Caenorhabditis elegans: one gene and its partner. The protein of the gene in region 2 interacts with the protein of the main gene of each other region in a pairwise test. Each region holds a gene or a part of one and is shown on either strand. Other genes may lie near its edges. The genes, in order: wee-1.3 and col-71.

Region 1 (3,916 bases), 6.2 Mb from region 2:
CGCCTGTTCCTCATCGTCATCTTGATCGTTATCAAAGTTCAAGCGACACGGCACTGCACCAGTGAACAAACGGCGTTGCGCGTTTGGTGGATTCTCATCATCGGAAAAATCGAAAGGAGACACAATTTGAGATGCTTGGCGAACAGCCACTCCAGTAAGAGATTCCAAATAAACTTTAGAAGTCTCTGGAGTTTGGATGGGAGTGTGCTGCTGATTCTGAAAAATTCGAGTTGATAAAATTTTGGGTAAAAAAACTTATTACATTGACAAATTGCGCACAAATTTCCGATTGCCGGTCTTTAATTGCAGCATGGAAGCGAACAATAGGATGAAAGAGCACCGAGAAGAAAGCCATTACCCAGACAAGAACAGCACTGAAGGCGTAGAAAAAGCCGTTAAGCTGAAACCAGTGATTGTCAAAATCCCTCATTCACAAAACTATAACTTACAATTGAAATGCATTTTACATAGGTTCCACGCTTCATGAGCTTCTTCTTGATTACCGGATGATCAAGCAAATCTCGACTTGTTGGACGAATCCTCGGATCAGAGTCAAGCATCAAGGCAATTAAACTGCGAAGATCTGTAGAAATTCCAGCGAAGAATCTATCAGGAATCTGTCCATTTCTGATTTGATGCCACGAATCTCCATTTGATGGAACGTCAAGATCAGTAGTAGCCTCAAGAATTGTCATTCCTAGACTGAAAATGTCTGATGATTTCGTGGGACGGCCGTTCAAAACTTCTGGAGCAAGATATTTCGAGTCACCTTCTTCCGCTGATTTCACATCATTTGGCTGAAAATCGATTGAATAAAATCAGAATATTAAAAAGTATGAACTTACATTTTTAAGGTTAATAACCAAACCAAAATCTCCGAGTTTGCATATCATGTCCTTTGTAAGAAAAATGTTTTCCGGTTTAATATCATCATGAATCATGTCGTTCGAGTGCAAATGATGAACAGCTTGGAGCAAATCTACGAAAATATTCCAAATTTCGTCCTCCGGTAGTGCATGTTTCTCTGTACAATATTTCAAAAGACTTTGATCGCAAAGTTCTGTTTGAATATACAATCGACCAGTTTCCTCCCAGGCTCTGTAGAACTTGACAAGATTCTTATGCGGTGGAATGATCATATGGCTCTCAGCTTCTCGGTACTTGGAAATTGAATGTTGCCGGATCGGAGCTAACGATACTTTGACAGCATACAATTGGGAATCCTCACGGCATCTGGCTGCGAATACTTCTCCGAACGAGCCTCTTCCAATGATTTCATCGATTTGAAATACTTGTTCAAAGAATGATTGAGCATTTGTATGATCGTACTTTGGCGATTCCAGTGGTTTTGGTCCTGAAAAAATGCTTGAGATGTGTTGGGTTTATCAAAAATAATTAATGTTTAAAATAATCAACTCGACATACCCTGCGGAGTGACCAAAAGTGGGACCGACTCCTTCCGAACAGACCAAATGCTTCTTGTTGGTGGCATAGTTTTTATCATTTTCGGAGCTGGACGACGGAAACGTGGAGTAATTGCTTGGCGCTCACGTTTTGTGGAAAGTGGTGTCTCACGCATCATCATCGGGATTTGTGGTAAGCGTGGAGTGACCTGTGGAAGTGGACTTGATTGACCATTTCGAATGGAATCCATCGAGGAGTTACCCTCTGTGTCGTCCATTTTCACTGAAAATGAATAAATTAATCATACGCAGCGGAAAAAAGAAGGAAGGAAGGTCAAAGAAAATAAATAACATGTTTTATCAAAATTAATATCGACAGAAATTTTTTAAAATAGATTTTTGCGGTGCAGAGAAGATGCTAAATAGAGAGAAATCGATAATAACGTGTTTGGAACGTTTTCAACTAAAAAACCTTTTGATTTCTGAGAGTATATTGGAATTAACATTGAAATTACTATAATAAGATAATATTAGTATGAAGGAATGAATAATCAATTAGGCGGAGGCGACAAAACAGCGAGAAAACAAACAATTCTGCCAACGGCGATTGCAATTCAAAACAAGCGCGCGAAAGAGGAGAAGACACATTGTGCAAACACCGTGGCGCTCAAATGCAGACTAGACAGGGGAAAACAGCGGGATATTCAAAAAATAATTTTAAATATGGTGTTCAACCGGAATGACCAATTTTGCCGAAGAAAGGGTTCAATATTAAACTGTAGTGGGTCTTCTATGAGCGATATGAGACAATTTATCTGCTAGATATGTTTTGTAGTTTGTAGTCTAGCAGACCCAAAGAAAAATAGTGTTTTTTTAAAATTTCAATAATAATAATGTGAATTACATCACGTTAAACAAAATTTCAGTAGCTTGGATCTGTCGGACTATTTACATACTACAAACCGGTTTAGCAGATGAAAACTTTTAAGACTCTCCGATACGGCCTGTCAATTCAAGAGCAATCATCTACCTAAACACCGCAGAAAGTCAGATATACAGCATTGAAAGTAGAACAAAGGGAAATAAAACAGGAAAATTTTATAAAACAGGAAAATTTAAGAGTTAAAATTTATTTTACCAATAGAATTTTCATATTTAATAAAAAAGTGGGTGCAATAAGCAATCAAACCAGCGAATAGATTTTAAAAATTACACATATTTGCAATGGTTGGGGTTTAAAGAAATATTATAATACATGGTTTTAAATTAAAATGGGATATTTGACAAATGAATTTAAAAATTATTTTCTTGAATTTCTGATGTTGAACTAGAAATTGGTGGGCTCTCGCTTGACTGAAATTGGATTATTGCGGATTGTGCTGAATCGTTTTCTCATGGTACAAAAAAATCTGACCTCTTTGAACAACTTTTTGATCGATGAATCGTTCAGTGCGCGGATCAAAGCAGCATGGTCATTGAGGGCATCATTGAGCGTTGGTGTTGGATACGGGATGACTCCTCTGTCGTTCATTCTGAAAAATAGCAATGATTTTATAATTTAGATGAGAAAAATCAATTACTGTGAAGCCATTGCCACTGCTTTGGCCAAATCAAGAGGATCCAGCTTGTACCAGAAGAACTCTTGTTTGCGCTCCTTTATTTTCTTGCAATCGAAAACATCAATCCAGTTCTCGTCGTTGATTTTTTTCCAAAATTTTTGCGGAATCCTTTGGGGAAACGGTGAACGCGACGGCCGATCGACTTTCATTTGCGACGCTTTGAGCGATTGGATCCGAGAAGATAAACTCTTTTATCCTAAAATAAATGTTGTAATTATTTCATTTTTAAACCAAATATTCACCCCAAGAAACGAAGAATTCTCGTCGCTCGCTGCACCACATGTTTGTCCCTGATGTTCAGCATCATGAAGTGACTCGCCATCTGAAATTTAAGTTTGTAATTCCAATTTGGACACTTAAAGAATTGCCAAGTCTGGCCGCTTTGCCGGATTCGCATTATCGGCATTTTCGTGAGTGATTTGGCGTTTCCTTCCTCGATTCACAGCTGGGAAAGTTTGCGCTGATTGCAGATTTTCAGATTGTTGAATATTCCGAGGGAAGGACGCAAGTTCTTGGCGATCCAATTTTGTATCGAGTAGATTCTCAGATCGTGGAATATTTGGATTGGATTTCGACGCCTCACGTTCCGATTTCACATTAACATTCGCATTCTCCGAACTGATTGTACCAGGAGCCGAGATAGGCCTAATGAGCGAATCATGAATCGAAGCATCCGTTGGTTCGACTTTCATAGAAGCTTTTCCGCTCTTTAAAGAGCTCTTACTCGACCCAATGTACACAACGTCGTCGTCTGCCTCCACTTTGATATGATTCATCTTGAGGTTGAAGAGCTGCAACTTCTAGATGATAATTATTAAAAAAGTTGAAAATTTTCAGCATTATGAATCAAGGAAAATAAAAAAATTAGTTTGAAAAGCATGACAATTGTCAATT
Region 2 (3,916 bases):
CTCCAGCTTCTCCATCTTCTCCAGGATGTCCTGGAGTTCCACGTGATCCAACTGGTCCAATGGCTCCCGGTGGTCCTTGTGGTCCTGGAGTCGGCTCACTATTCTCAGCGTTCTCTCCCGTCTCTCCAGTTGCTCCCGGCTCTCCGATCTTTCCAAGTGGTCCTGGACGTCCTTTCTCTCCAGCAGCACCGTCTGATCCCTTCTCTCCATTGTCTCCCTGCGATCCAGGTTGCCCGTCGGCTCCCGGGTACCCGGCTTGTCCAGGGGCTCCCTTTGGTCCTGCTGGGCATGGTGGGCATGGTGGTGGGGTTACTGGCTCACATGGAGCCTCTGGTGGTCTTCCTGGGTTTCCGTTGAGTCCGTTGGCGCCGGCCTTTCCGTTTGGTCCTGGACGGCCTGGAGGTCCTGGTGGGCCTGGTGGGCCTGGAAGGCAGCAGTCGTGGCACGTTCCTTCGGAGTCAGAGCCCGTGGTGGCGGTGTGTGGTCCTTCTGGAATTTTTTATTTTGTTTGGAGTGAAAATTTTGAAAAAATCGGATTTTCCATCGCAAAAACTCCATTTTGACCATTAAGTGGGCGGAGCTTATGTGACAATTTTTCACATTTTCTAAAGCCTGAAGCTGTATGAAAAATTCGGTTTTTTCTTTTTTTCGCCTGTCTAAAAGGCCTACAAGGCAGGCGCCTAGAAAGCCTACAACTCAGGCGCCTGCGAGCCTACAACGCCTACAAGGCAGGCGGCTCTAAAGCCTAAAACGCCTACAAGGCAGGCGGCTCCAAAGCCTACAAGGTTTACAAAGCAGGCGCCTAGAAAGCCTACAAGGAATGTGCCTAGAAAGCGTACGAGGCAGGCGCCTAAAAGGCTTACTAGGCATGCGCCTACAGGGCCTACGAGACCTACAAGGCAGGCGCCTAAAAAGCCTACAATGCCTACAAGGAAGGCGCCTAGAAAGCCTACAAGGCAGGCGGCTAAAAAGCATGCAAGGCATACAAGGCAGGCGCATACAGGGCAGATGCCTAGAAGGCCTTCTAGCCAGGCGTCTACAATGCCTATAAAGTAGGCGCCTGCTAGGCCTACTAGACAGGGACCTACAAAACCTACAAGGCAGGCACATAGAAAGCCTACAATGCAGGCGCCTAGAAGGCCTAGATCGCCTACAAGGCAGGCGCCTACGAAGCAGCCTACAAAGCCTACAGGGCCTAGAAGGCAGGCGCCTACAACGCCTACAAGGCCTACACGGCTTAAACCTCACCTTCAACTCCAACAGCAACAAACGGCTTATCCTCGTAGGCGGCCGCCGGGCTATTTCCCTTCACCTCCGCCGCAGCCGCATCTCCACCACTATATCCGACAGGCGTTGGCTTGCTCGGATGCACATCGTATCCAGCTTGACGGGCGGTACGGTTGCCTGCCTGTGCGAATGGGAAGCCGGCTCGCAGAGCAGCAACGTCATCGAAAATCTGACGAGCATTGACGTTGCACGTGGCCATCTCATGGGACATCTGACGTTTTACCGATTGGACGTAGGTGAAGACAACTGGCATTGTGACACAGAAACAGATCACCGAGACTGTGGAGAAGGTGACGGCGGCGTAGCCGATAAGGCGGTAGGCCTGGAAATGATATGGATTTTTAGTTTTTATAAGCTTAGAAGGCCTAGAAAGCCTACAAGGCAGGCGCCTAGAAGGCCTCTAAGGTAGGCGCCTAAATGGCCTAGAAAGCCTCCAAAGCAGTCGTCTAGAAGGCCTAAAGGGTAGGCGCCTAGAAGGCCTAAAGGATAGGCACCTAGAAGGCCTAGAGCGCCTACAAGGCAGGCACCTAGAAGGCCTACAAGGCCTACAAAACAGGCGCCTAAAAAGCCTACAAGGCAGGCGCCCAGATGGCCTAGAAAGCTTACAAGGTAGGCGCCAAGAAAGCCTACAAGGCAGGCGCCTAGAAGGCCTAGAAGACCCACAAGGCAGGCGCCTAGAGGACCTACAAGGCAAGCCTATACGGCCTAGAAAGCCTATTAGGCCTACTCGAAATAGACCGCTCACCTTAGTCTTCGGATCATCATCAACGTGCGTCTTCAAGCCCATTTCGCGAAGCAAAACGGGTGTGGAGAATGGCTTATCACCGCCTGCGTTGCGCATTTTAAAGCCGCCGAAAATCGCCAACGACCGGTAAATCGGTGAAAAAGTTGGTTCGCATGCGAGAGATAACGTAACGCCGTGGAGACGCAGAGTGTGTGGTCTATCGGATTTTCGGCGGAAAATGCTGGAAAAAAGTGTTCCCTAAAGACGTCAAAGATGATAATGAACGATATAATTAGAAGCTTTTCTATAAAGTTTTTTGTCATTGAAGCTGGAATTTGGCTGAAATTTGCCGATTTTTCGCAATTTCTGAAGCTTGGAGCTTAAAAAGCATCGATTCTGCTCGAAATTCCCTCAAAAAAACCCGAAAACCCATCAATTTCCCGAGAAAATCTTGAAAATTTGGAGTTTTTCCTCTTCGGGGCCGAGTTGGAGTTTTCTAGGCCACGAGTTGCATCCGCGCTCCATTGCGAATATGGTTAATTTAATTTATTTATTTCGAAGGTTTTCACCGGGTTTTCGTCGGTTTTCGCTCTTTTTCGCCAGTTTTTTCGAATAAAAATTGAAATTGAATGATTTTCAGCTCAAAATGTCTGCGCTCTACTTCAAAAAGCTACGAAAACAGCAGAATCCCGACGTTTCAAGCAGCGAAGATTCGGATTCCGACGAGGAAATTCCAAAAAAGAAGCAAAAGCAACAAGTAATCACAAAAAACGGCGATTTTTGCAAATTTTTAGCGAAAAAAACCGAAAATTTCCCAGAAAAGCACCAAAAAAATCGATTTTCAGAAGCCTGTCGCCGAGGAATTCGATGATTTCGTCGTTGACAGAGCCGTACGTGAAGAAGCGCCAAAAGAAGGAGCTTTTGAGGCAGTTGACCTGCTCGGAACATCCTATTTGGAGCCATATGAGATGGATAAGGACTTGCAGGAGCTTCTGGAAAAGTCAGTTGTCGGGCCGAAGTTTGAAGGCGATCATCAGCCTCAAAATAGGCTTTTAGGCCGGAATGCGGCCGCCAGGCTGAAGAAAGTGCGTTGAAATCGATGAAAATTCGATTAAAATCGCTCAAAATCCAATAAAAATCGCTATTTTTCCAGTCAGAACGCGAAAAAACCAAAGGATCCGCTTGGTTCAACCTTCCAGCGACGGAGCTCACCGATGAGCACAAACGAGATTTGGAATTCCTTCAAATGAGATCAACTCTCGATCCATTGGCTCATTATCGTCGAAATGACCGGGCTGTACTGCCGAAATACTTCCAAGTTCGAGAAAATTTAAAAAATTCCCAAAAAATCCGAGATTTTTCAGGTTGGACGAGTCGTTGACGCTCCAGAAGACTTTTATTCGAGTAGAATGGTGCGAAAAGAGCGAAAAAAGACGATGGTCGACGAGATTTTGCATAATGAGGAATCGTTGAGCAAAGCCAAGAAAAAGTACGGGAAAATCAAGAATTTTTGTGAAAAAATTCAAGTTTTTGCGTTTTTAACGTTAAAATCGTGATTTTTAGAGCAAAAATGAGCTAAAAAGGATAAAAATTGGCCGATTTTCACCCAAAACGGCGAAATTTTGCCAAAAATCCTGGAAATTGATATTTTTAATGCAAAAACTCGCTAAAAACGGTAGAAATTGACCGATTTTCACTCAAAACGCCGAATTTTTGCCGAAAATCCTGTAAATCTGCAGTTTTTGCGTTTTTTTAACGTAAAATTATGATTTTGGACTCGAAAACCCCAAAAAAATGCTGAAAATTGATCGATTTTCACTTGAAACGACGAAATTTCGTCGAAAAAACCCGGAAATGGACAGTTTTTTACGTTTTTTAACGTAAAATTATGATTTTGGAGCTCAA

The links.
Region 1: the proteins of col-71 (region 2) and wee-1.3 interact in a two-hybrid assay, tested with the Caenorhabditis elegans proteins (one large-scale study listed by BioGRID).

Annotation. Positions count from the first base shown.
Region 1 is NC_003280.10:9,714,782-9,718,697, forward strand, and holds the start of wee-1.3 (Membrane-associated tyrosine- and threonine-specific cdc2-inhibitory kinase wee-1.3), read right to left. Parts: upstream 1,687-3,916; 5' UTR 1,682-1,686; coding exon 1,426-1,681; intron 1,355-1,425; coding exon 846-1,354; intron 798-845; coding exon 450-797; intron 401-449; coding exon 263-400; intron 217-262; coding exon 1-216. Other genes in the region: Y53C12A.6 (uncharacterized protein), read right to left, coding at 2,697-2,756, 2,818-2,935, 2,984-2,994; Y53C12A.11 (PRE_C2HC domain-containing protein), read right to left, coding at 3,083-3,218, 3,265-3,344, 3,391-3,798. UniProt on the Caenorhabditis elegans protein: Acts as a negative regulator of entry into mitosis (G2 to M transition) by phosphorylation of the CDK1 kinase during oocyte maturation.
Region 2 is NC_003280.10:3,500,317-3,504,232, forward strand, and holds the start of col-71 (Cuticle collagen 71), read right to left. Parts: upstream 2,255-3,916; 5' UTR 2,129-2,254; coding exon 2,033-2,128; intron 1,730-2,032; exon of another isoform or gene 1,610-1,729; coding exon 1,249-1,609; intron 490-1,248; coding exon 1-489. Other genes in the region: Y49F6B.2 (Fcf2 pre-rRNA processing C-terminal domain-containing protein), read left to right, coding at 2,658-2,768, 2,857-3,096, 3,165-3,329, 3,376-3,500. UniProt on the Caenorhabditis elegans protein: Probable cuticular collagen-like protein. Nematode cuticles are composed largely of collagen-like proteins. The cuticle functions both as an exoskeleton and as a barrier to protect the worm from its environment.